Saccharomyces cerevisiae S288C: one gene and its partners. Changing the gene in region 3 together with the main gene of any one other region gives a genetic interaction. Each region holds a gene or a part of one and is shown on either strand. Other genes may lie near its edges.

Region 1 (5,478 bases), on a different chromosome or scaffold from region 3:
ATAACTTTGGAATCTTCATCAAGATATGTGATTGTAGCGGCCCTGCCAGTAGCAAATCCATTGCAGGACAAGTATTCCGAAATTTATGTGTATGATATTAAACAGTTCAAAAACATTTCCGCATTCAATTTTTCTAACCTCAACAATGATATCGAGAGTATAAAATATGAAAACGCTATGATATCAGATATTATTGCCGTACCCATGCTCAAAAGAACCGAAACATTAGGAAAAAGAAAGACTTCTGAGCTGTATAAGGAAGTGATTTTCAATTCATGTATCTTGGTGTCTCTAAATTTAGACTCAATAGACGGTATTGATAGTAAAAATATGAATAACCTATTATTGTTTTCATTTGATGAGGAATCGGGTTTTATTGAATTTGTTTTTGGGATTAACACGGGGTTCTCAATCAGTGGGTTACATAACTATTACAATGGATGTGTTTTGGTTTATGGGGAGTTTGTGCAAGCTTATCAACTGAACTATTCAGTTCATGATAACAAGTTCAGTATTGAACAGGTTTCAAATAGGTTGAATATTTCTGGTATTACAATAACATCATCTATATTTTTTGATAAAAGGAAGGCAAAGATGGCTAGGAAGCAGCAAAATATAGGTACATGGGTTTATTTGGAAGAAATGATTTTACTTGATGTACGGAAAGGTGTGATGAGGTTCAATGTCATCCATACAACAGACGGTAACATAGAAAAGGTTCAATTGCAGGTACAGCCTCTGAATTTATTTGAGAGGGACCTCATCAATAGCATTACCGACACCGGGAAAATGTTTACCGGTGCAGCCGCTATAACTTTCAAGAATATTAGGTATCTACTAATTTCGTACGGTGATCAAAAGCTCACGTTATTTAGTTTAAAACTTGATGGTGAGGAAGAAATAGACGAAAGAGTGTACCATGTTGCTGAGCAAGTTACAACCATCAACTCTGTAAGAACTACTGATTCCAGAATGAGCACGTTTTTAGGCGAATCTACATTTATGCCCTTATTCTTAGTAAGTACCTTGTCTAACGGTTGTTATGTGATCGGAATCCTGCATGAAGAGTCAGATATCTCATTACATATCTTATCAGAAAAGAAAGCTGTCTTCGCAAAGCGGTCGGTTCAAAAGTTCCTGGGCTTCCTCGATCCTCAAATGGATGATCACACTGTAATATCTGAAATTTAGTGTCTACGTTATGATATATACACTTACAAATTTACTTTCCTTTTTTAGTATAGTTTTCAAGTAAAATTCTTGAAGCGGTGTTGTTTTTGTTTGTTCTTCGTTTAGCAAAAGTCATTGTTAAATACACGCTATAATATGGCCATGACCGTAGGACCGAATGCTGTCCGAAAAATGATACTTATCACACATTTCAAATAAGATCGGTTTTGTAGTTCAAAGATTTCTTAAGAGCCTTTTACGTGTTTCTTAAGAAACACTTCACATTGGCTATCATTATTAGTAAATAGATTTATATGATTTTCACTTATTAAGGACAGAAATGTCGCGATTTCGAACCCATAAAAAAAGGAAAAGCACCGCCTGTTCTCCAGTCTTCATAAAAGCACACCGTATAGAAAGGGCGGTGAATGTTGATCTTGCATACTATAAAATTATTTGACACTAATGCCAACAACTTATGTGCCAATAAATCAACCAATTGGGGATGGTGAAGATGTCATTGACACCAATCGATTCACCAATATTCCAGAAACGCAAAATTTTGACCAATTTGTTACAATTGATAAGATTGCTGAGGAAAATAGACCACTGTCTGTAGACTCGGACAGGGAGTTCCTTAATTCAAAATATCGACATTACCGAGAGGTTATATGGGACCGTGCAAAAACATTTATCACATTAAGCTCTACGGCCATAGTTATTGGATGTATTGCTGGTTTCCTACAAGTCTTCACGGAAACTCTGGTTAACTGGAAAACAGGTCATTGTCAGAGGAACTGGCTACTTAATAAATCCTTCTGTTGTAACGGCGTGGTTAATGAGGTTACCTCTACAAGCAATTTACTACTGAAAAGACAAGAGTTTGAATGCGAGGCACAAGGGCTTTGGATTGCCTGGAAGGGACATGTGTCCCCTTTTATAATTTTCATGCTTTTGTCAGTCTTATTTGCTCTAATTAGTACACTGTTAGTCAAATATGTTGCTCCTATGGCTACTGGTTCAGGAATCTCAGAGATTAAGGTATGGGTATCAGGTTTTGAATACAATAAGGAATTTTTGGGTTTCTTAACATTAGTCATTAAAAGTGTTGCCCTTCCTTTGGCTATTTCTTCGGGATTAAGCGTAGGTAAAGAAGGGCCCTCAGTTCATTATGCAACCTGTTGTGGGTACTTACTCACAAAATGGCTACTAAGAGATACTTTGACGTATTCATCGCAATATGAGTATATCACAGCAGCTAGTGGAGCAGGTGTTGCGGTTGCTTTTGGTGCTCCTATTGGTGGTGTCCTTTTTGGTTTGGAAGAGATTGCTTCTGCGAATAGGTTTAACTCCTCTACCTTATGGAAATCCTATTATGTCGCCCTAGTCGCAATAACTACTTTGAAGTACATTGATCCATTTAGGAATGGCAGAGTTATTTTATTCAATGTAACATATGATAGAGACTGGAAGGTACAAGAGATTCCGATCTTTATAGCCTTAGGAATCTTTGGTGGTTTATATGGAAAATATATTAGTAAGTGGAACATCAACTTTATTCACTTTCGCAAAATGTACCTGTCCTCATGGCCAGTTCAAGAAGTGCTTTTTTTGGCGACGCTTACTGCTTTGATTTCTTACTTCAATGAGTTCTTGAAATTAGACATGACAGAAAGTATGGGTATATTGTTTCATGAATGTGTCAAGAACGATAACACCTCAACTTTTAGTCATAGGTTATGTCAGTTGGATGAAAATACGCACGCTTTTGAGTTCTTAAAAATTTTTACTTCCCTATGCTTTGCCACTGTTATCAGGGCCTTGTTGGTGGTGGTATCATATGGCGCCAGAGTTCCTGCCGGAATCTTTGTTCCTTCAATGGCGGTTGGGGCCACATTTGGACGGGCAGTAAGTCTACTGGTAGAGAGATTTATAAGTGGCCCTTCTGTTATTACTCCTGGTGCCTACGCCTTCCTGGGAGCAGCCGCTACCTTGAGCGGGATAACTAACTTGACTTTAACTGTGGTGGTAATAATGTTCGAGCTAACAGGCGCCTTCATGTATATCATACCCCTTATGATTGTAGTGGCAATAACAAGGATAATTTTAAGCACGTCTGGTATTTCTGGCGGTATTGCTGATCAAATGATCATGGTTAATGGATTCCCATATTTGGAAGACGAGCAAGACGAGGAAGAGGAGGAAACCTTAGAAAAATACACTGCAGAGCAGCTCATGTCCTCCAAATTAATTACTATTAATGAAACCATTTACCTTTCCGAGCTTGAATCTTTGTTGTACGACTCAGCGTCTGAATATTCTGTGCATGGTTTTCCAATAACTAAGGATGAGGATAAGTTTGAGAAGGAAAAAAGATGTATTGGCTATGTTTTAAAAAGGCACTTAGCCAGTAAAATCATGATGCAAAGCGTAAATAGCACCAAAGCTCAAACGACACTGGTATACTTCAATAAGTCTAACGAAGAGTTGGGACATCGTGAAAACTGCATCGGATTTAAGGATATTATGAATGAATCTCCAATCTCGGTGAAGAAGGCGGTGCCAGTAACATTGTTATTCCGTATGTTTAAAGAGCTAGGTTGTAAGACTATCATCGTAGAGGAAAGTGGAATTTTAAAGGGGTTGGTCACTGCTAAAGATATTTTGAGGTTCAAAAGAATTAAGTATCGAGAAGTTCACGGTGCGAAATTTACATATAATGAAGCACTTGATAGAAGATGTTGGTCAGTTATCCATTTCATAATCAAAAGGTTTACCACTAATCGAAATGGTAACGTTATATGATTAGACATTTATGTAATTTTTAAGGCGCTAGTATAGATTATTCAAAATTATATGATACAGACTTTTATCAATTTTTACTTGTTTAAGCTCCGTCACCCTGTTATTAAACGTGAGCAGAGAAATGCCTTTTGAAAACACACTAAAACACATAAGTTAATCTTCGCGCCATTTACCAACCTTTTTGTATTGGAGGTAAAGTGCTTTGAAATATTGTTTCCCAGGTGTGTCAAGGAAAGCGTTCAATTGATTCAACTCGTTCTGAGATAATATATCAAAAATCGCATGAATACCGGGCTGCAGACTCTTTTTTATGTTTAAACTGAACTGCGTCGTAATAGACAACTGTATATATTTCGTTAGAACCACAAGTACATTTTTTCTGATGGACTGCTTTATCAAACTTATCTTTGAGCTTAAGTTATTTTTCTGCCCATTTTGAGCGTTTGATACATTATAAGGCTCGCAGTAGTTCGTTATTAGTCTGGCTACGGCGTCTGCTGAATTTGCACACAATGTACCATCATGAATTGCTATTATTTCTAGTATCTGGCAAAGAACGGAGTTAAACAAATGGTGACGATTGGAAAATTTAAACCTGTGAACTAATAGCATATGATCTATCACTTCGATGATGTTAATAAAGCCTTCATTGATTTCATCCGTTGACTCATGGTTTACTATAAAAGCGAGAGTTTTTAAACAGAAAGGAAGCAGCATTTCAATACAGTATTGGCTGAATAGCCATGGTTTCGATACTAAGAACTCCTTGATAGCATTGAACAGTAGCAAGTATGACTTGTAGCCAAATTTTTCTATATCACAATAGGTGTAGGCTTCAAGTAAAGCTATCACAAATAGGTGATGACCAAGGTTATTGTCTCTTGCAATCCTTTTTGACATTATGATAAAAACTCTCACAAATTTTTCAGCACAAGGTTGGCTAATGGTGGAAAACGATTTAGCACTGTTCCAGAGCAGGCGGTTAAACGCATCAGGACCTTGTTTAAGACTTTCTTCCAAGCAGAACCCCAAGGCAGAATCGCACTTATCTGTATGCTCAATATTTAAGTACTCTGCAAAAATATACTCCAACTTGTTTTCTGTAAGGAGTGAATGAACCAAAAACATTTCCTGTTCTTCTGGCGCATGGTACACTTTTTTAGAATGATATCGAAGCATAATTTTGGAAAATATATCCAGAATTCTCGATTTATGCTTAGAAATATCGCCTTGTCCGGTCGTTATAATCTTGTACAATGTAGACATTGATATTCTGAAAAGGGGAATTGTTTCAGATTCAAAATTTTCAGAGTAGTTTTCCAAAATTTTAACAGCATAGCTAATTGCCATACCTTGTATATCTCTATGCTTGTTATCTGGTTTCAAAAATTTTGCGATAGTAAACCCGGCGATAATTAGTTTGCTATCACCATTGGACAATGACATTGACTGTTTAACGATATCGTAACCAGATTCTAAGAACTTCTCACTCACAGGCTCCTT
Region 2 (4,771 bases), on a different chromosome or scaffold from region 3:
CCACTTGTATCCACTCCCTGTTTTGCACACGGTAGTAGAAGGTCTTTTGAATATTTACTGTAAATACCGATTTCTATGTCCTTCTTGTCCGATTATAGGATTCGGGTCATTTCCAGCGCCTACTTTCCTTCTTGATTTCAAAATGTGTGGTTAACGTACTCCCAATTGCACTACTGTTCCTACAGTTCACGCGCACCTCTTTCTGATGAAAATGCAGCTGCATTAATCTGCGATCTATTGGCATCTCGCTCTTGTATCTGCCCTCCATTCGTGAAATTTTACTCTATTACCATCTTTGATCATTTTTTTGTCGCAAATGTGATACGGCATCCATCGAATTTTGCTCGTAATTGTTTGCCATTATCGCCCTTTTCATTCCGTATTATTCATCCACTCCGCTTCATAATGGGTTCCAAAAAAAGAACTATTGTACGAGCTTTTAGACTCACGAAAACATTACTTGAACAATAATTAGCGCCTGCAGAACTTGACATAATAAAATTCCATTTTCGATATCTAGCTGTCTGAAGATATGATATCTAAGTAATACGGGAAAGTTTCCGCTATTATTCTCTGTTGCAAGCTCACGTGAAAATGTGGATTCGCGAGTGGGGTGTAAGTGAGGATTGCCAAGCCTTTTGTTCGAAAACTTCTGCAGGAAGCGTTGTGTTGCAAGGATGATGCAGCATGAAATATGTGTTTTCTTTTTTTCGAGGTTCACTCCTACAGGTGATTCCTTCGAGAAATTCTGCAACCCATTGTGATATGATGCCTGGCCGAAAGATTTCTTCATTTCTTCGGAGCAGGTTCGGCCCGAAATCCTCATGATCGAGCCGAATGCCAAGAAGTAAAACACCAGGATGACTAACCAGTTATTATCATGTGTATACAGTACTTTGGTACCTTTATCAAGAAGTATACTAAAATATACCAACACCACACACATGCACATGGTAGCTGAGCGAACAGTTTCGAGATTTCAGCATTAATTTCATCTAATAAGACTTTCCGTCTGCTTTCAAGATCAACGTGCTGAACATTTTTACTCTGCTTTCATAATACTCCCATTTTAGGCTTTGATTCAAAAGCCCACTCAATGCAATACCTAAAATGATATCCTTCAAAGATATGTTTAATGAATATGCAGCCACAGCTTTGAATTCAGATTGACCTTGTGTTGCATTAAGTCAGACACCTCTAGATTTGTGTGGCTGCTCTCAAGAAAGGATGTTGAAGAAGATTTATTTACGGAAGAAATAACTGTATACGGCATTTTATTCTTTCTTAAACGAGCAAATTAAAGAATAGACGGATAGAGACTGGAGCTTTAGCATGTGTTCCGAGAAGTCCTTGACACGCGCCACGGTTGTTATGCCGCACACTACAATGATGTGTTTGAAAAAGTATATTAATGCCTATTGTCAAGATGCAATTCATCAATTCCAGCATTGAGTGATTCTTCTCTGGTGCGGTAAAACATAAATTTTAAATCTAGTACTCAACCACCACTGAACAACTATTAATCATCGTGGAAATTATTATGACGGAAATTGAATTTGGGCAACCCCTTCCCAGCAATCTAGACTATGCTGTTTCTTTTGGCATTCCTACATGGGATTCGGCAATAGGCTATGCGGAAAAGGTGCCAGAGGTAATAGGCAAAATGGCTACAGGATATCCGAGGTACTTTCCTCAACCCCCCGTCCAGAGGCTTTGTGCTTACTTTGTTAAGAAATTTGGGCGAGGTTCAGAAAACTGTCGTCCTTTTCCATCCGTTAACCTGGGTTTAAAGTGTTTCGAGTACGTAAAATCTGTCTCAGGACCTGAAAGTAAAGCTCACCTTGAAGTGGAAACAGTTACGATTAAAAACCGTGGGGCAAAAACGTCGAAAGAACCGGCGGAATTGGTGCTAACCATTGCTGCTGTCCTTGCATCGGAGGAAGAGTTCGAGACTGTGAAAGAGTATTGGAAATTAAGAGGTGAATGTGTATCTAGTCGATTGGCGTTGTCTGTCAACCAACTTCTTGACTGCGCTAATCATGGCTCAGAGCAGGTATTGCGTGAGCTAGAGGCTGGTGTTTTTGCAGCAAAGAAGGGGGAGGAGAAAGCAAAGAACCTGATAAAGGGAAGGATAGTTGAGAATCGCTTCAGGCCCTTTGGTTTGGAGAAGAAAACCCCGAATTGGGAGGGACTCAACCTCAACCCAAATGAAGACGTTTATCTTGTATCAAGTGGCATGTCTGCAATATCTACGGCTCGTAATTTACTCACCTTTTGGGAGGAGAAGAAGAATTCAGGAGATTCATTAAACAAGACCACCTCTGACCAAAAGAAAAAGCCATTATTATGTGACACTGTTGGCATCTTCGGCTTCCCTTTCAAAGATACGCAGGTCATTATGACTAAATTTGGAAAATGTAAATTTTTTGGATTTGGAAATTCTAGAGACGTTGTCGAATTACAAAAGTTTTTAGAAACAAGCAAACAACGCATTCTTGCCGTTTTCGTCGAGACACCTTCAAATCCTCTGCTGAATATGCCGGATTTGAAAAAATTGAGGAGTTTGGCCGACCAGTATGGCTTTTTTATTGTAATTGATGATACTATTGGGGGCCTTAACGTTGACATCTTGCCCTATGCTGATATAGTCAGCACGTCCCTGACTAAGCTTTTCAATGGTGCTAGTAATGTAATGGGCGGCTCTGTCGTTTTAAATCCGAAATCATCTCTGTATCCATATGCTCGTGAGTACTTCAGGAGCGCTAATTTCGAGGATTTGTTATGGTGTGAAGATGCGATAGTTTTAGAACGTAATTCCAGGGATTTTGAAGATAGAACTTTACGTGCTAATGCAAACACAGGAATATTGTTGAATGATTTGCTTTTACCCGAGGAGGGGAAAATATGCAAAAAGATTTATTATCCAACTGTTACTTCTAAGGAGACCTTTGAGAACTACGAAAGTGTACGTAATGAACGTGGTGGCTATGGATGCTTGTTCTCTGTAGCCTTTTTCAATGAGGGCGATGCAAAAGCATTCTATGACTCTTTAAAGGTATTCAAGGGACCTTCTAATGGTACTAACTTTACCTTAGCATGTCCATATGTCCATCTGGCGCACCACTCAGAATTAGAAGAAGTTTCCAAGTTTGGGGCCGACCCCAACATTATTAGAGTAAGCGTAGGTTTAGAAGATATCCAGTGGTTATTGAAAGTTTTTTCAAGTGCTTTAGATGTTGTGAAAAGCAGAGGCTCCAAACACTCATGAAGCAGATCATGAGTAGAATATCAAAAATCAAGAATTCTTTATAATCTTTATAGAATATTGTTTATAAAAGTTTTTTTCCATTCTAGCATATAATTTTTTTGGAGGAAGTCTTTTCTGGAACCTTCACATGGATCTTAATTAATGAAAGTAGACAGAGCTCATAAGATCACTAGTTGTTTATAAACTGAAGATGTTCCTTCTTATTGACTTCAACATTATATCGCTCTGAATTAGTTGATCTGTAACTTCAGAGTTTCTTTACCAGAATAAAAGCGTCACAGTTTTTCTTTAGTTTATATGTACACAGGTTGGGGTTTACTATAAACTATAAAAAAGAAGTGTTGTCGCCGCTATTTTAAGGTTTATACACAATTTTAACCAAAAAAAAGAATAAGTTGAGCAACGTTGGAACTGCCTCTGCAACGAATTCCGGCTATATACAACCTGCATCTTTGAAATTCAAATATCCAAAGTTAATGAAGAAGGATAATAATTTTCATCATTCAAAAACTTTAGATCTTCCACGGGCCTTTCCGCTTGTGGAGTAATCCTGAACGCATGTCTGTGAATTGGTTCTTCCCAATCAATCACTGCTGAATGTTGAACTCTGCGGTTATCCCAAATGACGACGGAATGAGGTTCCCATTTGGCTCTTAACTGTAAATCATGGCTGCTCTCCACTAGATTGTACAAGAAATTCAAAAGTGATTCAGATTCTTGTCTTTTCAATTCGACTATTTTCCTAGAAAATGCACGATTGACATACAAGCATTTCTTTTTCAAGACAGGATGAACTCTGACCAGTGGATGAATATGCGTGACAGGTGCTCTTCTTTTTATGCCGCCCTGGCGCTGTGAATTCTCTGCCTGTTCCTTTGAGCTATGGATGACATGAAGCGTGCTCAAGAAATCTTGCAAAGGCTTCGACAACCTGTCGAAAGCCTCGATCGTATCCGCAAATAACGTATCTCCACCACCATCAGGACCTTCAACAACACTAAAGAAAGTATAAGAAGGTGGCTGTAACTCGTAAGAGACGTCTGTGTGCCAGCCACCAGATGATGTCGAGTCATCAAAAACTCTTGCAAATTCTTCCGCATCAGGTCTTCGGAAAGTGATATGCAGCTCAGGATTGTTTTGAGGGTGGCCACTAGTTTGATGAATGTGCAACTTGCCAAAATGTCTTCCGTATTCAGTCACATAATCGGGTCCCTCGTCAGCAAAATTCTGATTTCTAAAGACAACTACTCCCTTTTGGGCGACAAGCAAAGCGAGTTCATCTTTTGCAGCATCAGAAAGATCAGTTAGCTGGATCCCATTGATCTCGAGACCTAATTTCGGGGTGATCTTCTTCACCTTTAGTTGACCAACGTTTTCTTTTGCAAAAAGGTTTGAAAAGTTACCGTCAGCTCTCAAAGCAGGATCATGGTATTCGTGAAATTCCAGCGGGCCATACTTTTCAGTAGGATCCCATGTAGGCAAATAATCTGGATACTTCGATTT
Region 3 (5,946 bases):
TGACTTTGCTTTGCTCTCCGGGTTCAGCATCGAATGAAAGCTCTGTCTGCTCTTCTAACGCCAGCGACTTAGACATGTCCCTTTTATCTACTCCTTCAAGTCTCTTCCAGATGGCAGGTGAGACCAAAAGCAATCCTATAATTATACCCGACAGTCAAGACGATAGTATACTTAGTAGCGACCCCTTTTAAGTAGGTAACCCCCCCTGGATTGCATAGCCATTGCATAGCCTTAGACATCAAACTTTATTTAATCACATTATCCTTCTATGTATCTTTTTCCCCCGCTCGATTTCTTCTAGAACATTACGGAAAATAAAGGAAAAAAATGACTGGAGCATCGAATCTGTAGACTAAAAAGGTAATGACGCGTTCTTCGTTCCCACAAGTATGTGAAATCGTTTGAACGCTTTTATATACTGATAGGAATAGATTATAATAGTATTCAACATTCATCAAACAGTTTATATCGGTAATAAACCAACCTCACGATACAGTGATTATTTCTCTAAACAACACGAGCCGTACTGTACCTACGATAAAGTAAAACACATTTTTCTTTTGCTACCAGTGGACACAAGATAACGGAGAATGCAACAAAACACGTCTTTATATGACTCTTTGAACGTTACTGCCGCTGCATCCACATCTGAGATTAAGAAAGCTTACAGGAACGCTGCATTAAAATATCATCCTGATAAAAACAATCATACAGAAGAATCCAAGCGAAAGTTTCAAGAGATATGCCAGGCATACGAAATACTTAAAGACAATCGTTTAAGAGCTTTGTATGACCAGTACGGTACCACAGATGAAGTCCTGATTCAAGAGCAGCAGGCGCAGGCGCAACGCCAACAAGCCGGGCCGTTCAGTTCATCCTCAAATTTCGATACGGAAGCAATGTCATTCCCGGATCTATCTCCAGGTGATCTTTTCGCGCAGTTTTTTAATAGTTCTGCTACCCCCTCTTCTAATGGCTCCAAAAGCAGTTTTAATTTTAGCTTCAATAATAGCTCTACGCCGAGCTTCTCCTTTGTTAATGGCAGTGGCGTGAACAATCTGTACTCCTCGTCAGCAAAATACAACTCCAACGATGAGGACCATCATTTGGATAGAGGCCCTGATATCAAACATAATCTAAAGTGCACATTGAAGGAACTCTACATGGGTAAGACTGCAAAGTTGGGTTTGAATAGGACAAGGATTTGCAGTGTTTGTGATGGGCACGGTGGTCTAAAGAAATGCACTTGTAAAACATGCAAAGGGCAAGGTATTCAAACCCAAACTAGGCGTATGGGACCTCTAGTACAAAGTTGGTCTCAAACTTGTGCAGATTGCGGGGGTGCCGGGGTTTTTGTCAAAAATAAAGATATTTGCCAACAGTGCCAAGGTCTTGGCTTCATTAAGGAGAGGAAGATTCTACAAGTCACCGTTCAACCGGGATCGTGTCATAACCAACTTATAGTACTTACGGGCGAAGGTGACGAAGTTATTAGTACTAAGGGAGGCGGTCACGAAAAGGTAATACCTGGTGACGTCGTTATCACCATTTTACGTTTAAAAGATCCGAATTTCCAGGTTATCAACTACTCCAATTTGATATGTAAGAAGTGCAAAATCGACTTCATGACCAGTTTATGTGGAGGCGTAGTTTATATTGAAGGGCACCCTAGCGGTAAGTTGATCAAACTTGATATTATACCTGGCGAGATACTGAAGCCTGGTTGTTTCAAGACTGTTGAGGACATGGGGATGCCCAAGTTTATCAACGGTGTTCGGAGCGGTTTCGGTCATCTATATGTCAAATTCGATGTGACGTATCCAGAGAGACTGGAACCTGAAAATGCTAAGAAAATACAAAATATTCTGGCTAATGATAAATACATTAAAGCAGAACGTTCCACCATGGAAACCGCAGATTCAGACTGCTATTGCGATTTGGAGAAGTCATATGACAGTGTGGAAGAGCATGTGTTAAGTAGCTTTGAGGCCCCTAATTTAAACAATGAAGTTATTGAAGACGACGACCTTGGTGATTTGATTAATGAAAGAGATTCTCGGAAAAGGAACAACCGTCGATTCGACGAAAGTAATATTAATAATAATAATGAAACGAAACGAAATAAATATTCTTCACCGGTAAGCGGTTTTTATGACCATGATATTAATGGATATTGAAGGTTATATAGTCATGCAGTAATGTTATACATTTTCTATTTTTATTTTTTGTATCAGTACTCTATCTATAAGGACATTCCTTTTTTTAAGCAATGCGGAAAGATACGCTATTCTTCCTGTGGATGGTTTACCGCGGTTTGGGTGGTAATATCATTGCAGCCCTAGTCCTTTAGCAGTTTTTTTAGCGTGTAATACATTGTTATTCATCTTTTTCTTAGTGCCTGCCAAGAGATCGTGGGAGGTTACTTAACAGAAAAGCAAAAAAAAAAACCGATTAGAATGTGCATGCCGTTGTTACAGAGAAGCAAGGGAAGTTCACCACTGATCATATTTCTAAGTTCATCAAAATATCGTTTTGGTTTCAGCAGTAGGGATCTTTAACCCAAGTGTTCATTTTCTTTCCTTTTTGCTTTTTATTTGAATGATCTGAACAAAAGGAGAAACATATACTGTACTATTGCGTGAAAACGAACAGAGCACAACCCTCAAGAAAAAAGAGAACTACCCCTTAGTTCCATCTCATTTACTTAAGCAACACTTCCTAATTATTCTCTAATCCTAATAAAAAAAAAGAACTGATGTCGCGGGAGGCATTTGATGTACCGAATATAGGTACTAACAAGTTTTTAAAAGTCACACCTAATTTATTTACCCCAGAGCGATTGAATTTATTTGATGATGTCGAACTATATCTTACGTTAATAAAAGCATCCAAATGTGTCGAGCAGGGAGAAAGGCTGCACAATATAAGTTGGAGAATTCTGAATAAAGCTGTTCTAAAGGAGCATAATATTAATCGATCTAAAAAAAGAGACGGCGTGAAGAACATATATTATGTGTTAAATCCAAACAACAAACAGCCAATAAAGCCAAAGCAGGCAGCAGTAAAGCAGCCACCATTACAAAAGGCCAATTTGCCTCCCACAACGGCAAAACAGAACGTTTTAACTCGGCCAATGACATCACCAGCTATCGCACAGGGTGCTCACGATAGATCCTTGGATAATCCTAATTCTACAAACAATGATGTGAAAAATGACGTTGCTCCAAACAGACAATTCTCCAAATCTACTACGTCAGGGTTGTTTTCAAATTTTGCAGACAAATATCAAAAAATGAAAAATGTGAACCATGTTGCTAATAAGGAAGAACCACAAACTATTATCACTGGTTTTGATACAAGCACTGTTATAACCAAGAAACCTTTACAATCAAGACGCTCAAGATCACCTTTCCAGCATATAGGAGACATGAACATGAACTGCATTGATAATGAGACTTCCAAGAGTACCAGTCCTACTCTTGAAAATATGGGAAGTAGAAAATCCTCTTTTCCTCAGAAGGAATCTTTATTCGGAAGGCCAAGGTCTTACAAGAATGACCAAAATGGTCAACTGTCACTTTCGAAAACATCCTCTAGAAAAGGAAAAAACAAGATATTTTTCAGCAGTGAAGATGAAGATTCCGATTGGGACAGCGTTTCGAATGATTCAGAATTCTACGCTGATGAAGATGATGAAGAGTACGATGATTATAATGAGGAAGAAGCAGATCAGTACTATAGAAGACAATGGGACAAGCTTTTATTTGCCAAAAATCAACAGAATCTTGACTCAACGAAATCATCTGTTTCATCAGCGAACACAATCAACTCAAACACATCCCATGATCCCGTACGAAAAAGTTTACTCAGTGGACTATTCCTTAGTGAGGCAAATAGCAACAGTAATAACCACAATACTGCACATAGTGAATACGCTTCTAAACACGTTTCGCCGACTCCTCAGTCCTCTCATAGTAATATCGGTCCTCAACCGCAGCAAAATCCACCGAGCGCTAATGGTATAAAACAACAAAAACCTTCTTTGAAAACAAGCAACGTGACAGCTCTAGCATCGCTATCTCCCCCGCAACCATCCAACAATGAGCGGTTATCGATGGATATACAAAAGGACTTCAAAACTGATAATGAGTCCAATCATTTATATGAATCTAATGCTCCGCTAACTGCTCAAACTATACTGCCCACCGCCTTATCTACTCACATGTTTTTGCCAAATAACATTCACCAACAACGAATGGCGATTGCCACTGGTAGTAATACGCGACATCGTTTTTCGAGGCGGCAGTCGATGGATATCCCATCCAAGAACAGGAATACTGGGTTTTTGAAGACCAGAATGGAGATCTCTGAGGAAGAAAAGATGGTACGTACAATATCACGGCTTGACAATACGAGTATTGCAAACAGTAATGGAAATGGTAATGATGACACCTCTAATCAGAGAACGGAAGCACTGGGGCGTAAGACGAGTAATGGAGGGCGAATATGATTACTAAGTTAAATAAATCAGATACAGTATTTAAAGTTCTTTCAAAAAAAGATAATGTCATATATTTTACTATCTACGCAGTGAAAGAGTTCCTTCTAATGACACACTATTCACTTCGGGTAACGGATATTGTGTACTGAAAAATATAAAAAATTTTATCCCGGAAATGCGATGAGATGAAAATGCATGAAGTAGCGTATATATTGATTGCATGAGGTTGGACTTGAAAGGGCATATATACTCGGTTTTATCATTGATTCAAGTGTTCCCATAAATAATAAAACAGTTAAATCGAAATGCTAAGAAGACAAGCCCGTGAAAGGAGAGAATATCTATACAGAAAAGCGCAAGAATTACAAGATTCTCAACTGCAACAAAAACGTCAAATAATTAAACAAGCGCTAGCTCAGGGGAAGCCATTGCCAAAGGAACTAGCAGAAGATGAGAGTTTACAAAAGGATTTCAGATATGACCAAAGTTTAAAGGAGAGCGAAGAAGCAGATGATCTACAGGTTGATGATGAATATGCTGCCACAAGTGGTATAATGGATCCAAGAATCATCGTCACAACATCTCGTGACCCAAGCACTCGTCTCTCGCAATTTGCCAAAGAAATTAAACTGCTATTTCCAAATGCTGTCAGGCTGAACAGAGGTAATTATGTGATGCCAAATCTAGTGGATGCTTGTAAAAAATCCGGTACTACAGATTTGGTGGTATTACATGAACATAGAGGTGTTCCAACTTCTTTGACCATATCACATTTTCCACATGGACCCACTGCACAGTTTAGTTTACACAATGTTGTTATGAGACATGATATTATAAATGCTGGTAACCAAAGCGAAGTGAATCCACATCTAATATTTGATAACTTTACTACCGCTTTAGGGAAAAGAGTAGTCTGTATTTTAAAGCACTTGTTCAATGCGGGGCCCAAAAAAGATTCCGAAAGAGTAATCACTTTTGCGAATAGGGGTGATTTCATTAGCGTTAGACAGCATGTATATGTGAGAACAAGAGAGGGAGTAGAGATTGCCGAAGTTGGTCCTAGATTTGAGATGAGGTTGTTTGAACTGAGGTTGGGAACTTTAGAAAATAAGGACGCTGATGTTGAGTGGCAGTTGAGAAGATTCATAAGGACTGCCAATAAAAAAGACTATTTGTGAATTTTTTTATAGATTTGTAAAGGTTAAAATAGAAGGCCGATGAGGCCTTATGTAAGTCTAATATGGTATTCTTAAAAAAAAAAAAAAAAAAAAAGCGTCTTAGAGGGAATATAAGAGAAAAGAAGAGATAGCATAACACATGATTTATTTTTATTTTTGCGTTTTTTTTTTTTCTTAATTGTTTATCAATGTATCTGTGAGAGTATCTACATAAAAAAAATAACCATATGAAGACATAAATTTAAAAGAACAAAACGAACGAAGGGA

The links.
Region 1: mutations in MKS1 (region 3) and GEF1 together harm fitness more than expected from each alone (negative genetic interaction), as found in Saccharomyces cerevisiae (2 studies listed by BioGRID).
Region 2: mutations in MKS1 (region 3) and HSU1 together harm fitness more than expected from each alone (negative genetic interaction), as found in Saccharomyces cerevisiae (2 studies listed by BioGRID).

The regions. Positions count from the first base shown.
Region 1 is NC_001142.9:506,111-511,588, forward strand, and holds GEF1 (Gef1p), read left to right. Parts: upstream 1-1,635; coding exon 1,636-3,975; downstream 3,976-5,478. Other genes in the region: MLO127 (Mlo127p), read left to right, coding at 1-1,191; ribosome biogenesis protein URB2, read right to left, coding at 4,129-5,478. UniProt on the Saccharomyces cerevisiae protein: Anion/proton exchange transporter involved in iron and copper cation homeostasis. Involved in intracellular iron metabolism during growth on fermentable and non fermentable carbon sources.
Region 2 is NC_001144.5:22,029-26,799, forward strand, and holds HSU1 (cystathionine gamma-synthase), read left to right. Parts: upstream 1-1,540; coding exon 1,541-3,268; downstream 3,269-4,771. Other genes in the region: JLP1 (sulfonate dioxygenase), read right to left, coding at 3,728-4,771. UniProt on the Saccharomyces cerevisiae protein: Plays a role in inorganic sulfur assimilation during sulfur-limited conditions; catalyzes the conversion of O-acetyl-L-homoserine (OAH) into homocysteine in the methionine biosynthesis pathway.
Region 3 is NC_001146.8:480,801-486,746, forward strand, and holds MKS1 (Mks1p), read left to right. Parts: upstream 1-2,755; coding exon 2,756-4,510; downstream 4,511-5,946. Other genes in the region: NIS1 (Nis1p), read left to right, coding at 1-191; APJ1 (Apj1p), read left to right, coding at 591-2,177; snoRNA-binding rRNA-processing protein IMP4, read left to right, coding at 4,807-5,679. UniProt on the Saccharomyces cerevisiae protein: Negative regulator of Ras-cAMP pathway. Involved in transcriptional regulation of galactose-inducible genes.